3 linked regions of the Mus musculus genome follow. The protein of the gene in region 3 interacts with the protein of the main gene of each other region in a pairwise test. Links are inferred from orthologs where the notes say so. Each region holds a gene or a part of one and is shown on either strand. Other genes may lie near its edges.

Region 1 (10,444 bases), about 29 Mb from region 3:
TCTTGAAAATATACAAAGAGGAGATTATTTTAGTTACCTAGGATATAAAATAGGTCTACAGAAAACCTGACTACAGAAAGTACAAATCAAGAGAGCTCAATTATAAACTCTTAATGATTTTCAAAACTTGCTGGGAGATGTTAACTGGCTGTGGACCAAAATTAGTTTAACTACTCAAGATCTAAGTAATTTATTTCAAACCTTACAAGGAGATAAGGACTTAAATAATCCAAGAAAATTATTAGCTGAGAGAGTGAGAGAGAATTGGCTTTTGTAGAATAGAAACTACAGGATGCACATGTAGATCATTTGAATCCAAAGCTATATTGTATTTTGTTTTTGTTTTTGTTTTTTTCTTTTGTATGCTGCTTTATTGTATGCTACAGCCAGTGATATATAAGAGTTAAACCTTGTGAAACAGAAATCCATGAAGTTCAGAGAGGTAGATATTAAGGACTGATGAGCAGAAGATAGTGCATTGTGGCACATGATAAACAGAAGCTTTTGTACAGACTTCATACTTAGTTCTCTTGAATATTCACTGATTCATAAAAAGTGGTTTGACTACAAAAAAAAAGCAGACTTTCTGGGGTCTGAAGGGATTTGTACCTGAAGACACTCCAGCCAGCAGAGGGTCATGTTGAGCATTCTGCAGACAGAACTGTTTCAAGTCTGCAGCTGCCTGGGAAACCTTCATGCAGTTGAGCCCGGCCTCCAGCTGGAGCTGTTGGACCACCCACTCGAGACCGCTGGGCCTACTCGTCAGTCTGGTTAGGGGGCCGTATCTTTTCCCCCCTCTGCTCATTCTCCCACAGGAGTTTTTACAGAATAGGATACCATTTTAGAGTAAATATTTTTAGCACACAAACAGTAAAAAATTAAAGACCTATGTATAAGAGGTTTCTGAATTGATTCTGAAAGGAAAAATGAGACTTTGTTGTAAATGTACCTCTTTGTTGTAATTGTTGTCTCTGAAGCTTACTGCTTCCATCTGCTAACCTAGGCCTAGTCCTGGAAGTTTCTAGACTTCTATAAAATCTAATCTAGGTATAGAATGATTTTCAGACTCTGAGATGTACTGCTGAATAAACTCACCCTTTCTAGCTTTTCTGAATTTTTGATGGCTAGTTCAACTTGGCTGTTCTGGCTCAAACTCCCCTCCATACTAACTGATTCGTCTGGTTTCTTTCTCTCTGATTTTCCTGAATTCTCTGTTTGGCCTCATACTAACTCTGGCAATATGTTCTATCTTCTATCTCCTTCTCAATCTTGCCTCTCAATTAGACATCATTTTCAATCTTTGATGCTTCCTTCTACAAATTGATTTTACCTTCATTGTTTGGGATTAAAGGTGTATACTAAGGGCATGTCTGTATTCCATCCAGGGATTATTAAAGGTGTGTGCTAAGGGTTGAGCCACACCACAAGTAGAAACAGGGTTTTTTAGTAAATAAAACAATCTCAGGTTCACAGTGTGATTATATCTTGCAATACTTTGTCAAAGAGCAGGAATAGACCCAACAGACCCAACAAAAATTGTGGTACCTTTTACTAATGCTGAAATTGCCTCAGTATGGGCAGAAAATGCTTAAATGCTTTAGTCTCCCTTCTAGAACACCATCAGGAGTTCTTTTTATATAGTCCCGACAAATGAATACCAACAAAGAATGGCAGGGTGAACCAATACCATACAGTGCTATCCATTCGTTGTCTGTTGGGTTATATTTATACCCTTTCCAAATACCACGTGTTCTCTCAAGTATCCGATCTAGCAAAACACCACATGTCTGTTCTCAGCAAAACACCCTCCCTTGTTTCTGCTTCAGCAAAAACATCCTCTCTTAAGAGTTTCCAGAAAAACATTACATGACACAACTAAGTCTCCAAAGAAATAGAAATTTCCAGTTCAGATATTTTTGTTGTTTGGTATTAAAAACACATTTAAGAGATTTAAAATATTTCAAGTAAATTCAAAGAGTTACTACAGTTCAAACTTTGATTTCTAAATATCCAAGAGCTGGTGTGTTTTTGGAGATAAGATAAAATATTTGAGCAGGGCTATGGTAGATCGTGCCTTTAATCACAGCAGAGGCAAGTAGATCTCTGTAAATTAGTAGTTTTTTAAATTCTAGATTTAGTGAACAAGGTGGCGGTGGTACATGACTTTAATCTCCCCCAGGAACAAAATGATCAAACAGAAGTATAAATTCATTTTATGGGATCCTGTCAGGAATAATACTAATAAAACACAGATAGATAAATCTCCAGTTCTGATAGCACACTGTGCTTTCTGAGCCTCCTTGTGAGTGCACTCCTGGATTAGTGAACACACACACACACACACACACACACACAACTCTTTTAGTATGTGAATTAGTGATAACTGAGATTTCAGAAGGTGGATTAAGGGATAAAAATGGTGTGGTTCTAAAAGGGAAAATGCACTGCAGCTTTGTAAGATGTTGCAAGTTGGGAAACCAGGATAAAGGACACGCAGGCTCCTTTGTATTGTTTCTTACAGCTGAATGTGAGTCTTAAGTTTATACCAAAGAAGTTTAACTTTTTTAACTAATAAGATGGAAGGATTTCCCTTTACAATTCTGGCTTATAGCCATTAGTCAGTTTTCTTTCTTTCTTTCTTTCTTTCTTTCTTTCTTTCTTTCTTTCTTTCCTTCTTCCTTTCTTCCTTCCTTACCTTTCCCTTCTTTCCTTCCTTCCTTCCTTCTTTTCTTTTAAAACATGACACCCTGGAGCCAGGCAGTGGTGGCTCATGCCTTGAATCTCAGCACTGGGGAGGCAGAGGCAGACAGATCTCTTTGAGTTCGAGACCAGCTGGGTCTAGGGAACCAGTTCCAGAACAGCCAGAAGATCAAAGCAAATCAAAGATATTGAAAGAAAGATGAAATTTCAAGACCTGTATGTCATATAAAGTACTCAGAAATTGCTGGTTGTTTGTGAGCCTAGAGGCTGCCTGGGGCTGAGAAAAAAGAAAAACAAACCCGGGCATGCCCCATAGTTAAAACATTCCTGGGAACAGCTTGACCATAAAGATAAAGAGGAATGTGAGGACATAACAGGGCTATCTGAACTGAGTCAACAACTCATAGAACTCTGACATCCTGCACGTACATGTAATTTTTCTGCTGATGTTTGAATAAGCCAATAGCATGTCGCTATGCTGAATTCCACACCCCTAAGCTCCTTACCCCATAAAAACCCCTAGCTTTCGAGCCTGTGGCCAACATCCGTTATCTCCTGTGTGGGATGCATGTTGGTCCGGAACCCCATCATTAAACTACCTTGTGTGTTTACATCAAAGACGGTCTATTCGTGATTTTTTGGGTTTTGGGTGCACACCAAATCGGGAATTGAGTGGGGGTTTCCCCACTAGGTTCTATCAATATGACATATGGACACTGTAACATCTATCTCTCCAAGACCACCTAGCTTCTCTTTGTGTTTCTGTGTTTTACACCCTGCATTCTTTCGACCCCCAGCAGACATACTGCAAATCACTAGTACCTGCTGCTTCCATCCTGTGTTCCTCTCATAACTTTTTGTTGTCTTTCAGATCTTAGCCGGAGCTTCAGACCGTGTCTCTAGTCCCTCTAGAACGTTAACAATCATCAGGATTTCTGAATTCAAGACTGAATTGGAGAGGCCAAACCTACTCCATCTTGGGACCAGCCTCCATCTTCAAGAAAAGAAAAAAGCAGAACTCAAGCTGCACCAAAATACCAGAAAGGACCCCATGGCTTGTCCTTGGCCAGAGTTAATCCCTAGCTACTTCCTAGCAACAGTTAATCAAAGATTAGTTTGATTGTTTCAGATGTACTTTCAAACTGTTTGTGATCAAATGCACGATTCAGGGCACCCAACTATTGGCTTATAGTCATTCTATTAGATGCTTGCCAGACTGGACAACCCCTCCCTCGCTTTGAAAGAACCTAGTGGGGAAACCCCCACTCAATTTCCATTCGGAGCGCACCCAAGAATCACGAACAGACAACCATCTTGATGTAAAAGCATGAGGTAGTTTAATGACGGAGCTCCGGGCCGACATATATCTCCCTCAGGAGACAGAGGTGTCGACCACATGGTGGAGCCATAATGGCAGAGCTCCGGTTCGAAACGTATCTCACACAGGAGACAGTGGTTTCGACTCTGACGCTTGGAAGCTAGGGATTTTTATAGAAAAGGGATGGGGCTGGGGGAGGAATTGGCGAGGTTTCACATGATTGGTTCATTTAAACATCAACAGACTGTCAGAAGGGCGGGAGATAGGGGGGCATGTCCTGGCCTGTTCTGCTATGTTCTCAGCCCCAGGTTTCAAAGCTCACAAACAACTCTTTGGGCTATTTGACATAAATTACATGAATCACATGTCTCAAGTTTTATTTCCTTTCAGCTTTTATTTTTCTATAAAAACTTGTTCTACTGAGGGTTCAGGGCTGCTCCGCCTTCTCTTTCTGTCCTGCTGTGTTAAGGTCGATTTGGAGGAGAGCCCGAGCCTGAGCCCGAAATAAACCCTAACATCGGAGACGGATCCTTGGTGGTTTGGGAAGGTTCAAGCTTCCTGGCACGACAAACCAAGGTCCTGCACTACGCCTCGCTTCCGGGAAGTGAGTCAAGCACCGGTCGCACGTTATACACGTCACTTCCTCCTGGAACCCGGATAAAGAAGTTCCCAGATTACTGTCACTGCTCCCAACCGCTGCACTACAGACATGGCTCTGCCACCTTTTTTCGCCCAGAGCCGTCAGGGACCTCCCCCTCCGCAGCCACCGCCTTCCGCTCCATTCGGCTGTCCGCCCCCGCCGCTGCCCTCTCCGGCTTTCCCGCCGCCCCTTCCCCAGCGACCCGGCCCCTTCCCGGGGGCTTCCGCCCCCTTCCTCCAGCCTCCGCTGGCCCTGCAGCCCCGCGCGCCAGCCGAGGCCTCCCGCGGCGGTGGCGGTGGCGGCGCCTTCTTCCCGGTGCCACCCCCACCGCTGCCGCCGCCGCCGCCGCAGTGCCGGCCCTTCCCGGGGCCCGACGCCGTCGAGCGTCCACGGCCACCGCCTCCAGGTCCCGGGCCGCCCTGGAGCCCGCGCTGGGCGGAGGCGCCGCCGCCGCCCGACGTGCTCGGAGACGCGGCCCTGCAGCGCCTGCGTGATCGGCAGTGGCTGGAGGCGGTGTTCGGGAACCCCCGGCGGCCCGGTGGCCTCCGGACCCCGCGCACACCCGCCGGGCCCAGCCTGGGTGAAGTCCGCGCGCGGTTGCGTTCCGCTTTGCGTTTGGTGCGGCGGCTACGCAGCTTGGGGCAGTCCCTGCGCGAGGCTGAGGCCGACGGAGCAGCCTGGGCCTCCCTGCACGCTCAGGCGGCGCCACTACGAGCGGAGCTAGCGGAGCGGCTGCAGCCGCTGGCCCAGGCCGCCTATGTGGGCGAGGCGCGACGGAGGCTGGAGAGGGTCCGGCGCCGCCGGCTGCGGCTTCGTGAGAGGGCCCGGGATCGGGAGGCTGAGCGGGAGGCGGAGGCCGCGCAGGCCACGGAACGGGAGCAGGAGATTGACCGCTGGAGGGTGAAGTGCGTGCAGGAAGTGGAGGAAAAGAAGCGGGTGAGAACCAGTATGCGCTCGGTGGTTGGAGCTGTGGTGTCTGGAACTCGAATCTGCGTGCTAGTTAACTTGTATGCTTATCCGCGAAAGCTAGCCTTTGCCACTTCTTTGCTCTGTATTCCTTGTTGACGATGTGTGGTGCATAAAACTCTAGAATTTGGACTATAAAGTCCCTTAAACACGCGACAGGTTTACACTGGTGCATTTCTGGGAGGACACACCTCTTGTGTCCTGCTTCAAAGTTGGATCCACTTACTGAAGATGCAGAGCAGTATCTTTTATACTGTCCTAAAGCATGCAAATGTAGAGGACTTGGACCACACCTAGAAACCTTTATAACATAATTGGCTGATGAGGTTGATAATAGTTCTCTCCCGGGTTCATTTGTTTTGGTTTGATACTATGAATACCAGTGTATCCGGTGGAGTGGGTCTGTCTGGATCAGGTGTTTCCAGGTACTTGGCCTCTTACTCAAATGATTGAATTAAGGACTCACACAAAATTGTAAAAATAGCAGGAAAACTATATTCAAAAACAATGCAGTAAGTAGCAAGTGCAGATTAGAAAGGAAAACACTGTCAACAGATTGGCAGCCACAAGGCCCATGAGATACTCCGGTTATTTTTGGAGAGTGTGCATAGCCCGGTCCCACTGGTCTCTCAGGTTGCTGTGCTGTTTTGTCCATGCCTTCCTTACCCCTGTTCAGTACTCATATCTATAGTAGACACTACACTAGTGTCCTGCACACAATCCCGAGGAATTCATTACCCTAATTTTACAGACTGAGACTTAAAGCAGCTAACTTGACAGCAGTCACACAAGCCTGTATACCAATATTACCTCAGATTTAGTCCCAAGTTGTATGACTTCAAAGCTTGTCTGTCTCATGTTCTTCAGTAGAACCCGGGAGAAAGTAGGATTTGCCAAGTGTAGGTTGAAGACATCCTCATTTCCTTTGAATGCTATTACTATTGTTATTGTTGTTTCAGAGTTATTTATTTTGGGTTTTGTGATTGTTTTGCCTGTGTGTGTATGTGCACTGCATATGTGCCTCCTGCCTATGGGGTCAGAAGAGGACATTGGATCCCCTGGAACTAGAGTTACAGATGGTGATGAACCATCTGTATGGGTGCTGGGAATTGAACCCTGGTCCTTTGTAAGAGTCACAAGTGCTCTTAATTGCAGACCCATTATTCTAGTTTATATATATGTTAGTTTTATTTATATATACATATATTTGTTAGTTTTTGAAAATATAATTACATAATTTCCCCCATTCTCTTTCTTCCCTCCAGCCTCTCAATGCATCTCCCTTGTTCTCTCTCAAGTTCATGGCCTCTCTTTCTTTACTTATTGTTACATGTATACATAAATACAACCTGACTAGTACATTTAATGTTACTTGTATGTATATGATTTCAGGGCTGACCACTAATAATGAATTGAGGTGCTCATCCCTGGGGAAAACGGTTTCTCTTGCTCTCGGCGTTTCCCAGTTGCCCATAGTTGGCTGAGGGTCTTGGAGCTGCTCCACTTCTGTGCTAGCATGTCTGTTGGTTTTCAGGTGTTGTTGTTTCTGTGCTAGCATGTCTGTTGGTGGTTTTCAGGTGTTGTTGTTTCTGTGCTAGCATGTCTGTTGGTTTTCAGGTGTTGTTGTTTCTGTGCTAGCATGTCTGTTGGTGGTTTTCAGGTGTTGTTGTTTCTGTGCTAGCATGTCTGTTGGTGGGTTTCAGGTGTTGTTGTTTCTGTGCTAGCATGTCTGTTGGTGGGTTTCAGGTGTTGTTGTTTCTGTGCTAGCATGTCTATTGGTGGTTTTCAGGTGTTGTTGTTTCTGTGCTAGCATGTCTATTGGTGGTTTTCAGGTGTTGTTGTTTCTGTGCTAGCATGTCTGTTGGTGGTTTTCAGGTGTTGTTGTTTCTGTGCTAGCATGTCTGTTGGTGGGTTTCAGGTGTTGTTGTTTCTGTGCTAGCATGTCTGTTGGTGGGTTTCAGGTGTTGTTGTTTCTGTGCTAGCATGTCTGTTGGTGGGTTTCAGGTGTTGTTGTTTCTGTGCTAGCATGTCTATTGGTGGTTTTCAGGTGTTGTTGTTTCTGTGCTAGCATGTCTGTTGGTGGTTTTCAGGTGGTGTTGTTTCTGTGCTAGCATGTCTGTTGGTGGTTTTCAGGTGTTGTTGTTTCTGTGCTAGCATGTCTGTTGGTGGTTTTCAGGTGTTGTTGAGACAGTGCTGAGGGCCCTTCTGCCCTTCCTACTTTGTACAGTCAGCAAGCACTCATTTTAGGTAGGGTTTCTAGTGCTGGGATAAAATGCCATGAGCAAAAGCAACTTGAAGATAAGGGTTCATCTCACTTCCACATCCACATCCCAGTGTATCATTAAAGCCAGTCAGGGCAGGAACCTGGAGGCAGGAGCTGACACAGAGGCCATGGAGAAATGTTGCTTGCTAGCTTGCTCTCCATGGTTTGCTCAGGTGCTTTCTTATATGCCTAGTACCACCTGCCCAAGGGTAGAATCACCCACAGTTTTACTGGGCCCTCCCACATCAGTCACTAATTAAGAAAATGCACCATAGGTTTGCCCAGTGGCCGCTCTGGTGGTGGAGCTGGGGATGGCTTCTCAATTGAGTTTCCTTCTTCCCAAAGGACTCTAGCTTGTGTTAAGTTGACATAAAACTAGCCAGCACAATCTCCCTTTTTCCAGTGTCTACCACTGCCCTATAGGCCAATATGGCATTGCTGGAAAGTGTATTGATAGATTTAGCATTGTACCTCAGGAATGTCAGCACAAGGGAGGCAATACTTTAGTCTGAAAAAATTTAGTCGCCGGGCAGTGGTGGCACATGCCTTTAATCCCAGTAATTGGGAGGCAGAGGCAGGGAGATTTCTGAGTTTGAGGCCAGCCTGGTCTACAGAGTGAGTTCCAGGACAGCCAGAGCTACACAAACAAACAAACAAAAAAAGCAGTAGATCCAGCCAAGGGTAGTTTTCCTAGCAGAAGACTGAAGGCATGGTCATTGGCTGTAATGCTGGAATTGCAGGCACTTATATAAGACAGATGGGAGAGAGAACTAAGTGAGCAGATGAGGATATGGAAGGCAAATAAATCCTAGGAAGATTGGCCTCCTATGTGTGAAAGATGATTGTGTGGAAGCTGTCTTTAGGAGCAGTGAAGGGCAAACTTAAGAGTATTACTTAAGAGGCATTGTAGAGTCCTAGGCTTTTCCAGTTCCATTCCTTACCCTCCTTGGGAGCCGGATCTTTCAGGACTGTTAATTTGCATTTTTAGAGTTCCAGGTTGACAAGGTAAATTAGATTCAGGCATTCCCTGTACCATCCCTTAGGAAACACTGAGGAACAAGGGCTCAGTACAGACACTGAAGCTACTGCAGAGAGGGTCTCCTTAAGGAAGGTTATGTGGAACTGGGTGGGGTGGCTCACAACTGTGCTCCCAGCACTCAGGAGGCTGAGGCAGGGGAAGTGCTGCAGTTTGAAGCCTGCCTGGCCTACAGAGTGAGATCATCTCTCAGAGATAAACAAAAGCAAAAAAGGGGAGACATCTGTATGACCAGCTGGGAGAGGCGGATCACACCTGTGGGAGGCTGAAGTAAGATATCTCTCTTTTAGTCCAATACAAGGCTCTTTCTCTTACATTAGTAAAATATACAGGAAGAACAATTATGAAAACTATCAGGTAAAGTTACATTCACAATGTCCAGTTCATTTATATTTAGCAGCCTTGGAGAAAGTACTCTACTATCTGTCCTGTCTTGATGAGTTCAACGTTCTGCACTTAAATCACTTTCTATCACAACTCACATTTACCAACCTATAAATATTGAATCCTAAGCAACTTAAGCTTAGTTATGAGACTGTAACTACCTAGTCTTCAGCCCCGTGAGAGACCTGAGACGGAATAGATACTACTTGAGTGAACAGGAAATTAAATTTTGGAAGCAAGCAGCTTCCAGAACTATAGAAATGACAGATACAGCGACATCCAAGGCTCCACTGCTACATGGGAGTATCTATCTTTGGTCTTCTGTCCCAACATAGGACAGACCTTTCTGTGAAGCAAGAATCATGAAAGACTTGCCTACCTTTTCCTTGCAAGTCTGGCAGTTGGCTGCTTCTGTGTTCTGCTTGCCCGCAGCTTGGACAGCATGCTGTCTGCAGTAAAGACAAGGGCAGGTTCTTGCCCAGTGGCAGCTTGCCAAATTTGAGACAAACTCAATATGAAGGGTCTTTGATGCTCATCATCTTATTTGAAGTAGAATAGGGGTGCTGCCAGGAAGAGTCATGTTTCACTGTCATGAAAGGCCTTTATTAATAAAACATCTAAAATTCCATATTCTGTAAATCTCTGAGGTGTTTTGAAGATCATTATCTGTAGTATATCTGAATAGGAAATGTTGCTTGTTTCTAGCTAGTTACTATCTGTTCAACTTTGAAAAATCTACAGGAGGCTAAAGAAAGCTTATTTTTGTAATATATTAAACTAGTACCTAACATAATTATAAGTTTGACTGACTACTAAGTTGTATTTCTTTATTTTTTTTTAAGTTTAGAATAGAGTTTATTTAGGGCATGGGGAGGGGAGTTAGGAGGGTAGTAGAGGTGGGGAAAGACAGAGAGAAGAGAGTAGAGAAGTAGAGGCCGGCCATGGCCACGTGGAAAGAGGGGGAAGGGGATGGGGAGAGAAGGGGAGCAAGGGAGAGAGGAGAGGAGAGAGTAAGAGCAAGTCGGATTCCTTATTATCCTAAACAGTTTGCAGTAACAGCTTACAACAGGACTAGCACTTCACATTGCATTCAAATAAGTTGCATAGGTACAATACCTTTAATGAGTTAAAACATAG
Region 2 (10,195 bases), on a different chromosome or scaffold from region 3:
TGTTTAGCTCCACTTTCTGAGAATCAGCCATTCAAATAGATGAGCCCATGGAAAGATTCTCATTCAGAGCACCACGGCTCCCTGAGGGCAGGCGTGTCTGGGCCTAAGGAATTCTGCTACTCCAGGAGGCCCCACCCAGGAGGATTGACTCTAGCTCCTGCTTCCTCACTCCCCCTAGGGTTTTGTCCTTCTGCCCAAGACTGAGTGTGACATTCAGGATGTGGAGTTTGCCCGATGCCTGCGGCTGCGCCAGACCTCCTTGGAGCCTGTTGCTTTCCGGCTGCCCCGGGTCAGAGTGAGTTTGGGTCAAGCACTCAAGCTCCTCTTTTAGTGGCTGGCCAGAGACCAAGGAATTTAAGTTCTTACCTGTTCTTGCACCCAAACCTCCCAGCTGTCTACTTTGGAGGGAATATCTGCCTTCGTATTCTACTGAAGTTCTGCAGAGCATGTGAATGCCAGCATGGGTGGGGCCAGGTCTCAGGCCTCTGTGTCCTGGGCTGCTGGTCAGTGTCTCAGGACAGCCCCTTCACCCTCTGCAGAAAGAATTCTTCCAGGATGATGTGTTCCCGGACACAGCTGTGACCTGGGAGCCAGCACTCAGTGCCAAAGCCTGGTTTGAGGGTGCTAATGGACAGCCCCGGCTACTGAGTTTGCAGCCCCCTGGCATGACCCCAGGTAGAGTAAGGAATAAAACGGGGAGACAGCAGGGGCGGGGAATCTGGACAGGGGTGGAAGGAGGAACAGGAGGCCCAAGTACAGTCCTTCGTTCCTGCTGCCACAGACCTCCTAAGGATGTTAGACATGTCTCCAGACCCAGTCTCTGAACCCCTGGAGAGCAAGTTCTGTGGCTTGTGTTTTATCCTAGCACATATGCATATGTACACACACATGCATGTGTTGTATACTTAACACATGCAGTATCCTTACATATACATATCCTGGTGCTATGGGCAGGCCTGGTGAACAGGGGCTTTAATAACTTGTTAATGCCACTTCTTTGATCTGTGCCAGCAAATTCCCTGAGGGTTGATTCTAAACAGCACCTTCTTTGATGCCTGTCCTTGCTTTACCCCAGTGAGCCAGGCCCCCCGTGAGGTCCCTGCCCGAAGAGCCCCATCTTCAGCACAATACTTGGAAGAGAAGTCTGACCAACAAAAGAAAGAAGAGGTGAACCTCGGGAGAGGGCTGCTATGTGGTACAGGCAGTGTCCCCCATGCGCTTAGTTATCTGCCAACTCAGGAGCCTCAATCCAGATGGCAGGAAGAACCACGTGTTACCCCTGTCTCCACACCAGACTCTGGGTAGGGAGTCACACCCAGGGCACAGGAAGCCAGGGAGGGCAGCAAGAGGCACACATGCTAGCCAGCCTTTACCTAACCAACATTAAAGATTGAAGACCTAAGCCCTTGGTCAGCCTGGTGTCCACTTGAGCCTTTGAGGCAATGCACAAGAGATGGCGGCTCCTCATGTCAGGTTCCACGTGCTACAGTCTCTTGTCTCTGACCCCTTTTTACTGTGTTTCACAATGAAAACCCAACAACTTAGTTCTAACTGAAAGGGCGCTTTTTAGCATTGTTGGGGTTAAAAATGGGGTTTTAAGTTCTTGAGGTCGGAGAGTCATTTCTTTCGGTCCCTCTCCTGTTCACTTTCGCAGCTGCTGAATGCCATGGTAGCAAAGCTGGGGAACCGAGAAGACCCACTGCCACAGGACTCCTTTGAAGGGGTGGATGAAGATGAGTGGGTGAGTGGCACTTGGCCCGGCTCCCTCAGCCAGCAGCACTGTCCTGGAGACAGTGTGCTGCATTCTTTCACCTCTCAGGCCTCTAACTCCTGCTTCCTGCCTCACCCCAGGACTAGCCTGCACGCGAGGCACGCCTAATCACAGCTGCCACTGCCACCTCCTACAACTACCTGCTGCCCTCCACACCTAAGATCTCTGCAACCTGGACAATGCTGCACTGGCCCTGGCACGCACATCCAGCTCAGAAGCCCTGGGTGTCACGCAAGCCTCAGGCACTTCCACAGCTGTGGGGCCTCCATGCAGCTGCAGAGACTGCCTGCTCCTTAACCCTCTGGAGCCAACTGTTTATCTTCAGCTGCCTGTTAGCATGTGACACCAGTGGGTGGGAGGTAGGTGTCAGTAGCATGTCTCTGGGCCAACTCGGGATGCCCTGTCTCTCCCAGTCTTTCTGCTGGTTTCCTCTAATATCTTCAGTTACTACAAGCCAAGCTGTCTTGCCTACTGCACCAGCCCCAGTCAAGGACACTGGGGGCTGGTCCCCCACCAAGCTGTTGGGAGCCGCTTTCTCCTTAGGGGCCTAGGACCATTTGTCCTGCTTCTCCTGGCTTGAGGAGAAAGGGTCTCATGGCGCTAACAGCCTCATTACAGTGGTGTGGACCCCATAACAAACAGCCTATATAGGATATGCTCTGGATGTTTCCAGCAATTAAACTTTTCTAAGCTGGCTGCCTCTTGTGCTGCTCCACTCCCTGGGAATATAGAAAGAAGGATACAGGGATATGAGTGAGCGAGCAAGATTTGGGTCTGTTCCTGTTCGTGCTGGTTTCACTTTGCTACACGTTCCTTGTAATATACAGGAAAGATGGCGCTCCGCTGACTGCAGCTCTGTTACACTAGGGAACCAGTGGTGCATAGGAAAGCAATGAGGAAACGGAAAAGGAGCTGACTTGGGCTCATGGCAGGGTCAGGGCCTGAGGGGGAGATGTTTCCGTTCCTAAAGTGAAAACTAAGATCTGCAGGACCCAATGGCAAGCAAATGGAAGGTCAGCACTGTACGCAGGGAAGGGAGAGTGTGGAGGTAGGTTGGGCACTGGTCTAGGTCAGAGGTTCTCAGGCTGTGGGTCACAAACCCTTTTGGGAGGTCAAGTGACCCTTTCACAGGTGGCTTAACATGTTAGAAAACACAGATATTTACATTACGGTCCATAATAGTAGCCACAAAAATAATTTTATAGTTGGGGGTCACCACAACATGAGGAACTATGTTAAAGGGTTAGGAGAGTTGAGAACCACTAGTCTAGAGGCATCTGACTTAAGGCCATTCACCAAACATACATGAGTACCCATGCCAGGCAGCCGTCCCGGTGCTTGATAGCTAGGAGTAAAGGCATAAATGTCCTGCTCACTGTGAGTGCCTACTCTAGTAGGAGACATAGCAATGATAATAAATGTTAAAAAAAAAAAGAAGAATTATGTCATAGAGCAGTGTCTCTCATCCTTCCTAATGCTGCAGCCCTTTGATACAGTTCCTCATGTTGTGAACCCCAATCATAAAAAATACTTTCATTGCTACTTCATAACTGTAGTTTTGGTACTGTTATATATCACAATGTAAATATTTCTGGAGGTAGAAATTTGCCAAAGGAGTTAAGATGCACAAATTGAGAACTAAGGGGAAAAAAGGAAGCATGAAATGATAATGGAGTCACAAGACCATGTGTTGTTCCGATTCTGAGTCTGTGGACTGTTGAGGAGAAACCCAGACACAAAGTACAGATGAGTAGATTTCAAAGTAGGGACGTGCGTGGCTGCTGGGCAAGAACTGGTCTGATCTGGATGTTGGTCATGGCAAAACTGAACTGTACACTCCAAAAGGTGGAACTGCTTGGTGTGTGAATTACGGCTGTCTTGATGGAACTGTCCCAACACACAGACACACAGACCAGAGAAGGTCTTGTGAGGACTTGACGAGAAGCCTTTGCAAACCAAGCAAAGAAGCTTGACTAGAGACCAAACCTGGCATAAAGATTCCAGAAGCAGCTGGGCAGTGGTGGCGCACGCCTTTTGATACCAGCACTCAGGAGGCAGAGACAGGCAGAATGCAATGAATTCAAGGCCAGCCTGGTCTACAGAGTGAGTTCCAGGACAGCCAGAGTTACACAGAGAAACCCTGTCTCAAAAAAAACAAAACAAACAAAAATCAGAAAAGAATAAACTAAGCATCTGATGTTTAAAGGACACCTCAGACCTTTGAAATCAGGACAGCGTGCTGGGCATGCCACTGTAGTAGGGGACTTGGTGGCCCTCACTGAGGAGATGGCATTAGATTACAAAGTTGACTGAACATGGGCAGAAACAGTTCCTCAGGCGTCTAGGAAAGAGCTTCACCAGAAGGGGCAATGTGAAATAAATCCTATTTTGAAATACCTGGTTCTCTTAAATATTCTAGCGATTTTAACATCCAACCCTATTATACTCTGGTTTATTTCATATGATAGCTTCTTCCTAAGTGTTTTGGGAAAATGAAGGGAAGGCCACCAAACTGCACCAAGTCTGGGGCCGCCCACTGGTCCTCTGGCCCCGAGGCAGGCTCCGCCCACATGCGCGGTGCCGCGAGAGTCACGCCTCTGGAAACGCGTCGCGTCCTTGCGCACGCGCTCTCCGGTCTCCCTTGACCTCTGACCCACCAGCAACCCTTGAGCTGGTCCCACTGGGTCGGGAAGCGGCACCCGTCCCCCTAAAGTGGAGCGTCCGCCATGGTGAGGCCCGGGATGGGGTGTTCGGGAAGGGAGGTCAAATCGGAGTCCAGCAGCGGGCTCTGGTCCTGATGCCGTGAGCCCCCCGGGTTCCTCACAGGAAGCAGAGTCTGTAGCGTGGCGCCCGGTCGGTCGTTGGTGCCCGGGCAGTGACGACCGCGGACCGGGGAATCGAGGCTCGGTTGGCGGAAAGCTCCCGGCCAATCCCGGCCTGTGCGTTCCCTGCCTCGGCGTGCGCGGTCCGCTGTGGGCAGTGGGAGGAGACGGTCGTTGACTGGGCCGGCTCCTGAGTGGCAGGACTCGGCGATATTGGTGTTGTGTCGCTTGGCTTTTAACCGCGTTTGACAGTTGGCTCATCCAAGGAAGTGGTAGACCTGAGACTTGCTAGAATTGAAACCAGAAAGGCTGAGCGTTTTGGCACCATTGGCACCTGAAAGTTGCCCGCAGGTTCTTGAGATTTGCCCCTAAGTGATTGGAAGGTTAGGGAAGCCTATTTATCTGTTTGTTTGAGACTAAGTACCACTATGTATATAGATAGTGTGGCTCGCCCGGAACGCCCTATGTGCTCAAGCTGGCTTTAAACTCACTGAGATCCTTTTGTCTCTGCCTCTGGCTCCCAAGGGCTGGCAGTAAAGGTGTGCGCCATCTCACCCAGCTGGGAGCATCTTCCTTGACCATGGGAAAGTAGGTAGTAGTTAACCGCTCACAATGCGTTGTCTGGAGCTGAAGCTTTATGTAGATTGTCATTTAAGCCTTCTCAATCGTCCCCATTTTAATTTAAGGGATTTGAAGCTCAGAGAATTTGACTTTTCCAAGCTCATCTTTCCCACAAGAGTCAGTTTGGCCCCAGCTTTGTTCGTGTTCTGTTCTGAGACTAAACATTTGCCACTATATTATTCCTTGTAATTAGGTCGCTGCCATTTAGTAAGAACCTTTGTTGGTTCCTCGTGGAACTCGGTCTTTAGCGTGCATTCTCCACATTCCACCTTGAACTTACCTCAGCTGCTCGTGTAAGGCTTATACTTGTAAACCCAGCACTTGAAAGGCTGGGCCAGGAAGATCAGGAATTTGTGAGTTCCAGGGCAACTTTAGTACATAGGGCTGAGAGTATAGCTCAGTGTTGCAGTGCTTGCCCACCACAGGTAAAAGGCCTTAAATCCATCCCCAGATGGATTTCTCATCCAAAAGAGGATGAGAAAGTACTGTTGGAAGGTGAGGTAAGAGGAGCCTAGAAGATTACCCCTGGGAGTCCGATTATGTCTAATTTTGTCAGGTCCTTAGGAATGGCCCAGGTTTGGGTTGGGGTACTGTCATGCTTTATAACTCAAACCCTCCTGCCTCCGCTTCCCAAGGACACTACTACCACCATGCCTTGGCAGTGTTGAGTCTCTGACAGTGTCTAGATAGGAAGGAGGTCAGTGCAGTGCATCAGAGGTGGGGCACTGTGCAAGAACTGGGCCCCCGCCAGAGCCTTTCCTCAGCATTGGAGGCATACAGAAATCCTGCCTGGGGAGTGGACTGTATGAGACTGTAGCTTTGACCAAACAGAGCTAAGAGTGACTTGATTAAAGTGTTGATTCATGAACAATCATGTTCTTTCAGATATGTGCTGTTCAGGCCAGTAGGGACCCAGAAACACTGTCATAAATGCCATTGTAGTGCCCACCTTCCTCCTGTCTAGCTGGGACACCAGTAACTATTTGTAAGGCCTGCCACTGTGCACTGGAGGAACACTGTACACAGACCTGAAAGCTAGGGCCCTCCTAGTGCACTTCCATGACTTAAGCATCATTTTTGGGATCCCTGCTCACCACCCTTGTTGAGGTTCTTTGTGCCATATTGCTTCCCAGTTGGGAAATGAAATGTGGTGGTCTGCATTTCCACCTTGCCACTGGGGTATTAGAAGGATACTTGGGGTAAACTGAGGGATAAACCTCCTGCTTTACTTCTTGATGGTGGGGTGCCAGGTTCTTGGGTCACCAACATACTGCTCAGGAGAGGTGAAATACAGTCTAAGATGGGGGGATCATGTTGATAAAGGTGATAGACAGTGGGGGCTGAGAGGATGGCTGTGGTTCTCAAACTCCTGTGCACCCAGACATCACTGGGAACCTCAAAGAGTTGATAACAGGGGCTGGAGAGATGGCTCAGCAGTTAAGAGCACTAACTGCTCTTCTGAAGGTCCTGAGTTCAAATCCCAGCAACCACATGGTGGCTCACAACCACTCATAATGAGATCTGGTTCCCTCTTCTGGGGTGTCTGACGACAGCTACAGTGTACTTACATATAGTAAATAAATCTTAAAAAAAAGAGAGAGAGAGAGTTAGAACAGGGCCTGCGATGAGCCCTAAGGTGTGGGGAATCCAGCTTAGCTCAGGGTAGTGCCAGGAGTGCTGAAAGAGCTTCTGCAGGAGACTTAGGCACTAGGCACTGCTCTGTAGGACACAGCCCCCACCTTCCACCCTCATGGTGGTCCTTGATGAAGGTGACAGTTCTTGCTTGTCCAAACTGCTTTGTTAATGGTGAAGATGCATGCGACTTACTCGGGGTGAACCAGAGATTAAAATACCTTTTGCAGGAAGGGATACCCAGGAAGAAAAGCTCATTGGTAAGGAATCCCTAGATAACTCGTTAGCAAGAGAACTGTAAGTTCCATGCTATGTGACTGGTTGTCATGGTCCCCTTAGTGGAGTGTCATGGTCGTGTGCTCCAGGACGGGAACCTGATCAGGAGCTAGTCTGAACTCCTGCCATTCTCCATTTTAAGTTTTATCGGGGTTCTCAACTTTGCTACTACCTTGGCAGTTCTCTGTCTGATGTCACCGTCCTCTGCCCCACAGTAGCGTGTTGCTAATGGCAGGTTTCAGGGTCGGAGTCCTGTCTATGTTGCCTGCCCTCAGTTACTGCTTGGTCTGAAGTTACCCACCAGTTGAGCTGGCAGGCTTGTCAGTGAGTTATTTAGAGGCCTTCTTAGAGGGGCCTTAGTTATGGCTGTTTGAATACCCTTGGAGTGGGCTATAGCTGGTAGAGCTCTGCACGGGAAGTCTCCAGCTGTGAGCAAAGCATCGACTCCCCGACCATGAGCACCAAGCAGGTACTGTTTGAGAGCAAAGCCAACTGGAGCTCTGACTCTAGGACCCTCCTTACCTGGCAGTCCAAGGCTTTACACCTCTCCTGCAGATATTATTCTCCTCACGTTGCAGTTTTAAGATGTGGTTCAGAAAAGTTGAGTAATTTGTCCAAGGCTACAAAGCAAAGGAAGGATTCCAGTGGGTTCAGCCTCTTTTTGGCTCCTTTCCCTTCTTCATTGCTCCTAGAAGACCATTGTGTAGATTTTACCTCTGAGGTACCAAAGGGCCTGACTGGAAGAAATTGTGGTTTTGTTCTTTTCTTCTTTCTTTTCCCTTCCTTCCTTCCTTCCTTCCTTCCTTCCTTCCTTCCTTCCTTCCTTTCTTTTAAAAACAAGCAGGGTCTCCTTATATAACCCTTGCTGGAATTCACTATGTATACTGAGGTGACCTTGAACTTGTGGCTGTCCTACCTCTGCCTCCTGAGTACTGGGATTAAGGCATGAACCACCAGGCTAACTGCCTGACCACTGAAAAACTTTTTTTTTTTTTTGTTTTTTTTTTTGTTTTTTCCAGACAGGGTTTCTCTGTGTAGCCCTGGCTGTCCTGAAACTCACTCTGTAGAACCGAACTCAGAAATCCGCCTGCCTCTGCCTCCCAAGTGCTGGGATTAAAGGCATGCACCACCACGCCTTAAAAAACTTTTATTAAAACAGAATAATAACAGGTGAAGACCAATACTTGCTGGTTACCTGCTGTGTCATTTAGGCTTCATGCTAAACATCAATCTCTGATAGCCACTTGTGCTGTCAAGAAACTGAGGCACATAGGGGTTGAGAATTTGACCAGGGTAGGAAGCTGGGATGGGTACAGGAGATAATCTCAATGATGGCCTACATAAATGCTCTATCAGTCTGCCAACCTCCAGAGAACATCTCAAACATGGGTAGTTCTGTCTGCAAATCCCTGGTGGCTGGTGGACCTCTGCAGGCATTTTGCCTTCTCTAATAGCTTCTAGGCTTGAAGTGTTTGAGGGTGGAGTGGGGTTCTGAAGTTATAGCTTGTTTTATTGTTTTTGTTACTCTGCATAGAGATCTTTCTGAGTGTTTATATAGTTCTGGCCATCCTGGAACTTGCTATGTAGACCGGAGCTGTCACTGGACTGAGAGATCCACCTGCCTTTGCCTCCGCAGTGCTTGGATTAAAGGTGTGCACTATCATGCTGGCCAGCCTCAGTTCTTTTTTTTGTTTTGTTTTTGTTTTTTTCGAGATAGGGTTTCTCTGTGCAGCCCTGGCTGTTTTGAAACTCAACTCTGTAGACCAGGCTGGCCTCGAAACTCACAGAGATCCCCCTGCCTCTGCCTCCCAAGTGGTGGGATCAAAGGCGTGCGCCACCACTGCCCTGCTCAGCCTCAGTTCTTAACATTATTTAACAGTAGTCATGGACCTTATCAGAAAAGTACATCATTGCTTCCAGGGCCCTGGGATGGATGTGTGGCAACAAAAAGGGCAGACTTGCTGTGATGTGAGATCTCCTGAGGGGGGTTGTAGATCCAGGAGCCCTCTAGAGCCAGTCAGAAACCAAATTCCATCTCAAAGCTTCCTGTCCTACTTGGCAGTGGTTCTAAGTGAGCAAGGCACAAGTCAAGTGAGATTACCAGTCAGCAAGCGCCTTGTTACTCCTGATCCGTGCCACAGCTGCCCAACCCCATGCCTGTCTTTGATCACAGAAGGGACTTCTCTGGGCCATGCTTTCTCATATGGAAGGTAGGGCTTATAAAATTCCAATCTACTGTGAGGTTTCCCTAATGACCCATAATTATATCTGCTTGCTAAAGAAAGGACAGAGCCTAGAAGCCAGAAAGGCGAATTCTAGAGTCTGAGTCTTGATGCAAGGCCACCTTGTTATCCCTTTGGAGTAAGGCGCTATGGGTAATAGGACTTGAGCTATCCCAGCCCTCTCACTGGTTCCAGTAAACCTCTTAAGTTCTTGGGGTTAAATGGCACAGGCACTAGAATGTGTTTGACACAGTACCTGCTACACAAGCTCAGTCAATACTTGTTGACTGAGAAAATTAGCCACAGGGATGTACTAGGAAGAAAGGTCCAATCTTTCAGCTGTGCCACATGAGCACTGCTAGGGCAGTGAGCATTTTTTTTTTAAGTCCTCGGCTTGTCCCTTTATATCACTTCACAGACATGGCATCCAGTTGTGTGTGTTTTTAATCCATGTGTAACTTTTTATAAAAAGAATATTTTATGTATGTGAGTACACTACAGGCTGTCTTCAGACGCACCAGAAGAGGGCATCAGATCCCATTACAGATGGTTGTGAGCCACCACGTGGTTCCTGGGAATTGAACACAGGACCCCTGGAAGGGCAGTCAGTGCTCTTAACTGCCGAGTCATCGCTCCAGCCCCGTGTGGGATCCAGTTTTATGAATACTGGCTACAAATATTTGTTTCACAATAAAAAGCTTACTGGTTCTCCACAAATCCATCCTCCCTTCGGTGGTTTTCCAGCCTAGGATGTTCCCAGGGTGTCTAATCCTAGACCTGCCTGCTTCACTTGTGGCTCAGTGACATGGCTCCACCTGCACCTCAAGACCCAGTCTACGAGAAATGCTGTC
Region 3 (10,370 bases):
GCATGTCCTCCCACCCTACTGTTCTACAACTCCCACAGAACTGGGAATTAAACCCAGGACTTTGCATACTGGGCAGACACTCTAGAACTAAACCATATCTCTAGCTCCAAACTTGTAATGTGATAGGTGAAGCAGCAAACTCCTAAAATTCCAGCACTTGGGAGGCTGAGGCAAGAGGATCAATCAATTTGAGTTCAAGGTCAGCTTGGGCTACAACATTTAGTTCCAGCCAGCCTATGCTATGTAGGGAAGGCCCATCTCAAACAAAACAAACAAAAAACAAGCAACAATGAAAACACTAAAAGAAAAAAAAACTAAAGCTAAAAGAAAAACTATTGCCACATTTATATTATGGGAATTTTAATTCTCTTCAGGGATATCACTTTGGCAGCTAGTTTTGTGTATGTTCTGGTGGGGGGTGTTTTTGCTGTTTCTGTTTCTGTTTCTGTTGCTGTTGCTGTTGCTGCTGCTGCTGCTGCTGGTGCTGCTGGTGTTTCTTTGCTTGTTTTGTTTTTTGGCATGCTCTCACAGAACCAGATAGGAAAACTGCTGTGTAGCTAAGGATGACCTGGTCTTGCTTCTGACCTTCTAAAGACCGAGATCACAGGCATGTATCATTACACCCAGGCATTTTATGCTTTTATCAGGTAGGTGTTCTGGAATTATTTGCTATCAATATCTATGTAACTGTCTATTCTTTTTCAAAGTAATATGGTTTGGTTCCTAGCATACATGTTTTGTGGTAGAGAATAACTGCCTTCGAATGAGGTAGCTAAGAATATATTTTGAAATTTGGGGAACATTCTATATCCCTTGTCATAATAAACCAGGGAGTTTTAATCAGCACAGGTGATTAAGGGTGAGCTGATGTAGTGATTCATGCCTGTAATCCCATAGTGTGTAACTTTTCCTGGGGAGAGGTGAACAAGGTCTATTCACCCAAGATAAGGTACCAACAACAGACCAGAGAAACAACTCCACACACATCTGGCTCAGTGAGCATGCATTATTGGGTTATTTGTTTATTGGAAGTACAGGCAAATGGTTACTTATAGAAACATAGCTAACTCAAATGTCATTGAAAAGCCCACTGCAGCATGGGTGACAAATGGTCTTTTCCTTGGAGCTCCACACACAGTTTATAGACAGTGTGGCTGGTTAAAATCTCTTCTCCAGCAATTAATTGTTACTGCTTATAGTAATGGTAGTAGGGCACTTATGAATCTTGTGACTTTCAGGAGATTCCTGAGCCTTGGATATGTCATTTACTTCCTGAGTCTTAGCTTCCCTCTTTCCTTCAAGATGGAACCATACAAATCAGAGGAAATAGCTACACAACATCTCAGTCTTGGGAGGCTGAGACAAGAGGATTACTGTGGGTTTAAGGCATATTGTATAGTGCTTTCAAGGCCAGAATAGACTATAGTCTGAGATCCTGACTCTTAGGGAAGAAGGAAGGGAGAGAGGAAAGAGGGAAGGAGAAAGAGAGGGAGGGAGAGAGGGAGAAAGAGATTAAAGATAGAGATGGTCAGTCATAAAGGTGTCATACACCTTTAATCCTCAGGAGGCAAAGACAAAACAATCTCTGAGTTCAAGGACAGCCTGGTTTATATACTGAGTCCAACTAGAGATACACCATACCAACAGCAAGACTCCATCTCAAACAAACAACAACAACAACAACAACAACAAAGCACCTAAAACCAAAAAGAAAAAAAATATCATTACCAAATCTGTACTGAGTTTTCCTTCCTTGGCACATGTCACTATTTCAGCTGGTCTGTGTGTGTGCTGGCATCTAGACCACCAGTCCTCAGGAAGTGCTTTCAAATCCTCACAAAACCAGTAACAAAATAATTAACACTGAATATCAAATTCCAGGTGTTTTACATCATTTTGCATAATTTAATTTCCATGTAGCCCAGACTAGCCCTAAAGTTAAAAGAGTAAGTGTTTACTCCTGCTTTAGCATCCTGAGTGCCGGGTGTGCACACTTTTGCCACCATGCTCAGCTGGAACACTGGGGTTTGCAAAGACCAAACTCTTTCCCAAAGACCAAACTCTTTCTCAGTTCCAGTACTTTCCTCACAAGCCTCTCTCATACTCTGAATATTGCACATGGAGTCTTTTTTAAAAAGATGTATTATTTATTTTTGTAATAACTATGTGTTGATGTCTGAGTATATATATATATACCACTTGAGTTGCAGGGACACTTGGAAGCTAGAAGCAGGTGTTGAATCTCCTGGAATGGAATTTTGGCTTCTCAGCAGTTAGTGCTCTTCATTGCTGAACCATCTTTCTAGATCTAAGAAATAATTTCTAGGAGTTGAGAAGCATGCACAATAATTCCCAGCAGCACATAAAAACAAAACAAAACAAAAACAAAAAACAAAAAACAAGCCGTGGGTATGAAAGTACACATCTGTAGTCTCAGCACTCGGGAGGTGAAGGTGGAAATATCAGACGTTCAAGATCAACCCTTGACTACATGGTTTGAGCCCCCACCCCAACCTCCACTACACCTCGTACCACCATCACCAATCAAAACCAGCATAGAAAAGTGCATTAAAGCTTCTGCTAAGGAAGTAGCCAAGGGTCATAGCTCCTCCTCTCCTTCCTAGAAGTGCATTGCATGAGTTCACTCCCTTAATCTAACAACAGGCCTCGGAAGTGGGAGGTATAACCCTCATTATGTTGATGAAAACGTGAGCCGCAGCAAGGATAACTTTCCCAAGGTCACAAAACCACATGACGCCAGAAAAATAGGGTTTAGCATCTATTTCTTGTTTTGCGTGTGTGTGTATATAGGTGCAGTTGCCATAGTGCTCTTGTGGAGGTTGCAGGACAATGTTGTGGACTCAGTTCTCTTCTAGCACATTCATGGGAGTCCCCAGAGTCGGGTTCAGGTTTAGACAATGAGCACCTTTCACCTGCTGAGCTCTCATGACCACTTTTTTTTCTAACAAGAAAAACACCCTCATGTTTCTAATTACCAGGAGGGCAGAATGGCTAATACTTTTTCTAATTTCATCAGAGATGATGTCCCCCTGCCTTCCCTGCCCCTCATGATTGAACTGTTGTGATAAGAGTGCATAAATCAACATAGGGAAGACCCCCTTCACCTCCCGGCTGTCATTCTTGGTTTGGCCTAAAATCAGACAAAATTAGGAGGTGTCACCAGGCAGACATGCCTCTCTTGTGCTGTCTTTTCTCTTTTCTTTCTTTTTCTTTTCTTTTTTTTAAAACTACATTATTAGATTTTATATGAATAGCATCTCTAAGCACAGATTTACATACAGCACATCAACGTGTGAGGTGTAAAGTCTGAAGTCTTTCTATTCCTGGATCCCCCTCACTCAAATTTCTCACTTGCATTCCACAGTTTTGGATGACAAAATTATTCCCACCATCCAGCCCCCTCACCTTGGAGCTATGAACGACTTTGGAGTAAGGCGCACCTCTTGGCTTGTCCACTACAACCCCTAATAGAATAGGAAGGGCAGTCCAAAAAGTGCCAGAGGCTCTTTGAGTGTGTCTGTCAGTATCTGCCTGCCCATCTACTCCATTTGCCTGCATTTTTATACAAAACCTAGTGTTGGGCCATCTGAAGAATCCATATTGGTAGCGATTGCACGCCCCCATCTCGGAGCTTCTGAATATTCATGTGGGAAGCAGAAGGGCCAGTATCAAAGAAGGGAGGAACGGCAATTCATAAATATTAATAAAGGTAGGTCCACGTGCTCTAAGGAAGCTATGAGTGTTCACGACAGGATGACGTTCAGGCCCTGGGCGCGCCCGTTAGGCGGGTTCCCGAGTGCGGGCGCGCCTCCGGGAGCCCGGGCACGAGCGCGGGGACCAGGCGCAGCCGGAGCAGCGGGGGAGCGCTCGCTGGCTGGCTTGCCCGCTGACGTTGTGCTGCACCGGGCCACCTCTAGTCGGTGGTTGGGGATGTCTGGCTGAGCCCTGGGATCCGATTCCTTCCTCCAGGACCCGCTCAGGTGCGGTGGTGGGAAAGGCGATCTTAGTCTGGACTAGCCCCAGTCCTGGGGGCGGGTGTGTGTGTGTGTGGGGGGGGGGGGGGTCGAATTCGGGTGGTGAAGAAGACCAGAGGATTGGAGATTCTCTCATAGGATTCCTCGGGTATGCGCTACTCTCATCTCCTCTGGGTCTTTTCCTCAGAAGTAAAAAGAAGGGTTCGTGGGCCGTCGTCCTGGTCTTTCCCAGTCTTGCGGGAGCTCAAGCTCAAGGGCCCCGGAGTGGGTACTGGTAGCATCATCTCAGAGCATCGTGTGTGTGTGTGTGTGTGTGTGTGTGTGTGTGTGTGTGTGTGTGTGTGTGTGTTCATGTGCAACACAGTGCCGGGAAACCCTATCTGATGGTGCTGGAGCAATGTGGACTCCATATGTCATTCCAGGACCGTTATGTGTTCCGCTTATCTTAGGCGTCTCAAAATCATCTTTGTCCCTACGAATCTGATCCTGCAATCTACTTGTGCCCCTCCGCGGCGTGTGGAGCCTTCCTCAGACGGGGCATTCTCGCAGTGTCAGACCCTCTGGCTGCAGTCCTCTGGGAGCGATTGTTTTACTACACAGAGCAGGTTGGAGAAAGGACGAGTGTGACGAAAAGGAGTGTGCAGAGCCCGCCCTCATCCTTGGGGCCCAGGGTGCTGCAGAGCGGAGGTTCAGCTGAAGGGGTGTTATACAATCCGTTCTTCTTGCCCTCTTGTCTTTCCCTTTGCATCTTGTCTCCAAGTACGACTCACCCATCCCGGTGACCAGGTCTTATTTGGCAAAGGGAAGACAGTGGAGTATGAGCAGGGGCTGCGTGGGATGAGCCGTGCATCCTCAGAGTGCCAGCCATTGTGCTGCCTAGAAGAGCCTTTCTTTACTCCGACAGAAGAGGGAGAGGAGGTCTGAAATGGAGGTGAATGGAACAGAAGGGGGGGGGAGGGTACCGAGTCCGGTGAAGGGGTTGCTGAGCCATGTGCAAATGAGTATTTATTCTTTCTGGCAAAATGGACAGCTTATACTAGCCAGGTTTTGCAGAAGAGCAGTGGGAGTCTGGAAGTGGATAACAGAGGGCATTTTAAGGATCTATATGGGAATGGGAGGGGAAGCACAGAGTCAACTGGTCTACAGAACAAGTGATGGAAAGACCAGGGAGATGGGATGGCATGTGTGGAGGTGCAAAGAGGCCCAGCAGGGGAGGCACGATGAAATCTCCCTCTCATCCACCATGCATTCAGCTCAGTGAAGCAGACTGGGGACTTGTACTGCAGACCCAAGCTGCAGCTTCTGTACTGTTAGGCTGCAGGGAGAGGCTTTTTCCCATGTTTCCTTCCGAGTGTCTGTTGAGGACTGTGCGTTCCTCTTCTAAATTACACCACATATTTGGAGTCCTAATAAGTGGAATAGATTGTATGGAACACTTACACTATAGTCCTGGATTGTGTTCAATAATAAAAAGACGAGTTTCCCATGATCCCTCTCTGCCATTTTCACATATTTATTTATTTTGGAATCACAAAGAAGATGGCTATTCCTTTTATTAACATTAACTTGTGTGTGTGTGTGTGTGGCAGGAGGGTGGGAGGTGTGAAGACAGAACCCTAGATGTCACATATGCGCGGCAAACGCTCTGTGGCTTAGTTGCTCCTGTAGCCTTAACGTTAGCTTTTAAGGGAGGAGGACTTGGAGAGAAGCTAAGGCTGAGGAGCCAGCAAACTTGCCAGGATGGAAGGATGCAGGGTTACTTCAGACGTTTCAGATGAGAAGTGAAAGCAGTCTACCTAGAGGAATAGAAAAGAAGATGGACTAGAGAAAGAAGGTAGGGGGGCCAAATGAATGGGATATGCCAGCACTCCAAGCCTGGGAACCCCTTCTTGAGGTTTGACTCTCATTTACTCTGCCACAGCCCCAGATACAAATGCTCCACTCAGGTTAGAAACCATGTTAATACAAATTCCCAATATACAAGCTCAGTTTTAGCATCATCTGTCTGATCATTCACAGAGTACCTCACGGCTCCTGGGTGATGAGTTGCTGAAAAACCAATACTATAGATTGAAAACAATATTATAGATTGTTTCAACTAACAATGTTTCTGGACTCTGAACCTTGATATCCATGTCTTCTTTTATAGCCATTTTTTTAAACTTTTATTTTTAAAAAGTATTGGCTGTGTGTATGTGATGTGTGTGTGTGAGTGTAGACGTGAATGTGCCACACAGCACAAAGGTCAAATTTCAGAAATTAGTTCTACTGTGGGATCCAGGGAGCAGACTTAGGTCGTCACGTGTGCAGGGTGAGCACTTTTAACCGACAGAACATCTAGAGGCCTATTTCTTTTTATAGTTTTTGTAGGTATATTTTTATTCTTTAGGGGTTGTCTGAGTCAAATATACTCTCTTTTTGATACTCCATTTTATTTTGATTATTTTTACTTATGTGTATGTGTGCAGGGGCCATATGAGTTCAGGGGGCATTGAAAGCCAGAGTCATTGGATGACCCCAAAGCTGGAGTTAGAAGCATTTGTGAGCCACCCTATGTGGGTGCTGGAAATCGAAGTCGGTATGTGCTCTTAACCACTAAGACACCTTCCAACTCCTAAGCACTTATCTCTGTTTGGTTTTCCAGCATTCCAAGCTCAGTACGTTTGTTGACGTGCTTGATTGAGGCAGGCTTTCATGCATCCCCAAGCCTGGTGGAACATGCTATGTAGCCAGGGAGGGCCATCAAGTCTTTCTGCCACCGTCAACCCAGTGCTAGGATTTCGAGTGTGCATCACCACAAATGGCTTCAGGTGGCCTCAGTCCTGGATTCTGGTTGGGTTGTCTGTTGTTGCTTGCTGATGGAATCAGTATCCTTGCTAGCATCACCTTCTTATCCTAGATCCTGTCACTCCCAGAGAGAAACACCCATTTCAAGGAAGTTTAAGTATCTGAAGTTAACTGACTGGCTTTTGAATCTCTCAGAAATGAGGCCTGTGATCCAGGAAATTTTGACAAAATGAATTTTAAAAAGCCTTGATGAAAAAGATTCCCAAATCCCTCCAGCAATTTCGAAGCAGCATGCACTACATATAATGGCAGGGATATTTTTTCTTTCGTTTAAAAAATGCAACCCTGGATGACCTAGAACTCACTATGTAGACCAGGGTGGTCTTGAACTCACAGAGAGTTGCCTGCCACTATCTCCTGAGTGTTTGAATTAGAGCTGTGAGCCACCACTTCTGGCCTCCACACTTTCATGTAAGTAGTATATCCTGATTTTCTGAGGAAAGCCAAATAGCCTTCAGATGTAACTTTATTTATTATTTAAACAAGTTTTTAGATATATTCACTTTGTATGTATGAGTGTTTTTCTTACATATATGTCTGTGTACCACATGCATGCCTAGTGCCCTTGGAGGTCAGAATAGGGAGTTAGAAATCCCCTTACCCAGAAGATTGTGAGCTGCCATGTGGGTGCTGGGAATCAAACCAAGGTTCAGCAAGAACACTAAGTTCTCTTAACCACTGAGCCACCTTTTCAGTCCCTATTTATTATTATTTTAAAATGTTTTTCTTATGTGTGTATGTGCTTGCGCATGGTGGTATGCACATATGTATGTGGGGAGCCTTGGAGGCCAGAAGATAGCATGGAATTGGAGTTACTGGGGCCTGTTGCGAGTGCTGGAATCCAAATTTAGGTCTTCTACAAAAGCAAGTGCTCTTAAACACTGAGCCATCTTTCAGCCCCACAAACACTATTTTAAACCACATTTAGTAGATGAGGAAACAGAGGCACAACAAGCAGATAGTTTGCACAAATTCTCACAGCTAAGGTAGATAAGATAAGGTCTGGATTCTCAGATAACAGACCACCATAGTCTTCATTGGCACAGATCTTTTCTACTCTTCCTCCATCTCTCCTCCCCTTCCTTTCTCCCCTCCCCTCCCCTCCTTCCTCCCCTCCCCTCCCCTCCCTCCTCCCCTCCCCTCCCCTTCTCCTTCCCTTCCCTTCCCTTCCTCTCTCTCTCTCATTCTCTCTCTCACCATGGTCAGAAATTTTAGGGCTTCATTTTGCAACACCTTTTCCCAAATACTCCCAAAATTCTTTTTTTTCCCCATTTTTCATTTTATGTGTGGATGTTTTCCAGCATGTATGTATGTGCACCATGTTCTTGCAGTGTCCAAGTCTGCCAGAAGAGGGTGTAGGACACTCTGGGGCTAAAGTTAACAGATTGTAGTGAGCAGCCGTGTGGGTGCTGGGAATTAAATCAGGGACTATTATGCACCAAATCATCTCTCCAGCACCTCTATTCCCAACCTTTTAAACTGCTATTTCTCAGAGCTGCCTGGCACCTTCCTTTATGAACCTGGACAACTCTGTTGTTTACATAGTTTACTTTTAAATTGATGGTGAAATTTTTACTAAACTATTTTTCCCTTTTAAAATGTCTTTACTAAATATCTTCACTGCCCCAGTGACTTGTTGTTCTTAGTTTATTGGTGTGCACAGTGTCTTCATCCTTTGAATTTTCTGCCCCTTTCTTGGTACCTTGAGTTACTCTTGGCTCATTTACTGTCTACAATGGTTCCTCTGGGCTGAGCTTCAGTCATTCTAGATCTCCGTCACCTAACATCAGAATTCCCAGGGACTCCTTTCACTTTCTGACCCATCATTGGGATTTCTACACCTTCTCACTTTTCCCCCGTCCACTTTGTCCTTCAATTGGTGTTTTTCTCTGTGTTGAACAACTCTTCTTCCTCTTCCTTCTCTTCTTCGTCTCTTTCTTCTTCTCTTCTATTCTCTCTCTCCTTCCCTGCCTTCCCCTTTCCTTTCCTTTCCTTTCCTTTCCTTTCCTTTCCTTTCCTTTCCTTTCCTTTCCTTTCCTTTCCTTTCCTTTCCCTTTCTTTCTTTCTTTCTTTCTTTCTTTCTTTCTTTCTTTCTTTCTTTCTTTCTTTCTTTCTTTCTTCTGATAGGGTCTCATATAACCCAGACTGACCTCAAATGTGTTATATAGTTGAGAATGACCTTGACCTTTCTGCTGGTTTAGTAAAGTGGCAGTAGTAGACTCTTCTTCTTTAAGATCCACAGCCTCATTATCTAGTTTATTGGTTTTCAGTGCCAGGGATTATTTCCCTCCTATTGAGCAGACCCTAAGTCTAATTAGACAACTATTGGTTACCATTAAGATATGAATATCACTGTTGCACCTTTAGGGATCTCTTGCTATGCTGGTCATTGTTGCAGCTCATAGGTAGGAATATTGTTTGCTTCCCTCTGTTGGCGATTAGCATAGCACCTTTTGGTACTGTGAAAGATAGTTCTTAGGGAGGGGGATTTCAGGTCAGACAGAGCTCATACAACCCCAAGTCCTTTGTCTGAATACACAGTGTTTTCAGCAATTAAGAACTTACCTTTAACCTCTGATGGGCATCCAAGGGCAATATGATAGCCTCTATAGTTTGGGGAATCTACGGATTCTTTTTACCAACAACTCAAAAGGATGTTCTCATTTCCTCCTTTGTGCCTTTGTATCACTTGTATCCTCCTATTCCCCTTAAGCACTCCTTCCTCATGTCTCACAGTACGTTTTTGCTTTTCTGGTTGTTATGGCTTCTCCAGGTTATCTACTCACATCTGAAAACTGATATGGGTTGTTGGTTTTTCTGTTTGTTTGTTTGTTTGTTTGTTTTTTAATACAGCATCTCACTAAGTTGCCAGGGTAACATTGAACTTGTGTAGCCAGGCAGCCTGGAACTTCCTATTTCTTTCTGTTCTTGTGTGTGTGTGTGTGTGTGTGTGTGTGTTATGAAATCTCTTAGTGACCAGTAGGCATGCATAGCTGTTTAGTACATGCAAGGAGGCTAGTCTAAAGAAAGACTGTAACTATAAAATGACTTAGTTTAAAAAATGTCTCTGCGGGTGTGGTGGCACATGCCTTTAATCCCAGCACTTGGGAGGCAGAGGCAGGCAGATTTCTGAGTTTGAGGCCAGCCTGGTCTACAAAGTGAGTTTCAGGACAGCCAGAGCTATACAGAGAAACCCTGTCTGGAAAAAACAAACAAACAAAACAACAACAACAACAACAACAAACAATCCCCCCTCAAAATTGGCTCTGTATTTTTAATATGAATTATGTATTAATATAGTCGTATTTTGGATTAAGTAAATATGTTTCTATAATTAAGATTATAAAGCTATTAAAATGAGCTTCCCAAGCTCATTTTGCTCTGTGCCAGTATTTTTATAGTAATTCATAAGGAAATCAAACCTGGGATACATGCCACTCAGCCAGCCACTGCACTTATGAGTCTTGGCAGCATCTCCTTTTTCTGTGTTGAGAATGGTCTTAGTTAGGGTTCCTACTGCTGTGACGA

The links.
Region 1: the proteins of Fez1 (region 3) and Pdcd7 interact in a two-hybrid assay, tested with the Homo sapiens proteins (2 studies listed by BioGRID and IntAct). The link is inferred for Mus musculus from reciprocal best matches to the Homo sapiens genes FEZ1 and PDCD7.
Region 2: the proteins of Fez1 (region 3) and Pam16 interact in a two-hybrid assay, tested with the Homo sapiens proteins (2 studies listed by BioGRID and IntAct). The link is inferred for Mus musculus from reciprocal best matches to the Homo sapiens genes FEZ1 and PAM16.

The regions. Positions count from the first base shown.
Region 1 is NC_000075.6:65,341,415-65,351,858, forward strand, and holds the start of Pdcd7 (programmed cell death protein 7), read left to right. Parts: upstream 1-4,653; 5' UTR 4,654-4,727; coding exon 4,728-5,594; intron 5,595-10,444. UniProt on the Homo sapiens protein: Promotes apoptosis when overexpressed.
Region 2 is NC_000082.6:4,619,156-4,629,350, reverse strand, and holds the start of Pam16 (mitochondrial import inner membrane translocase subunit TIM16), read left to right. Parts: upstream 1-4,404; 5' UTR 4,405-4,497; coding exon 4,498-4,500; exon of another isoform or gene 4,501-4,881; intron 4,882-7,644; exon of another isoform or gene 7,645-7,689; coding exon of another isoform or gene 7,690-7,742; intron 7,743-10,195. Other genes in the region: Coro7 (coronin-7), read left to right, coding at 179-295, 540-675, 1,076-1,167, 1,655-1,741, 1,852-1,857. UniProt on the Homo sapiens protein: Regulates ATP-dependent protein translocation into the mitochondrial matrix. Inhibits DNAJC19 stimulation of HSPA9/Mortalin ATPase activity.
Region 3 is NC_000075.6:36,828,911-36,839,280, forward strand, and holds the start of Fez1 (fasciculation and elongation protein zeta-1), read left to right. Parts: upstream 1-3,829; 5' UTR 3,830-4,001; intron 4,002-4,122; exon of another isoform or gene 4,123-4,143; intron 4,144-4,663; exon of another isoform or gene 4,664-4,926; intron 4,927-10,370. UniProt on the Homo sapiens protein: May be involved in axonal outgrowth as component of the network of molecules that regulate cellular morphology and axon guidance machinery.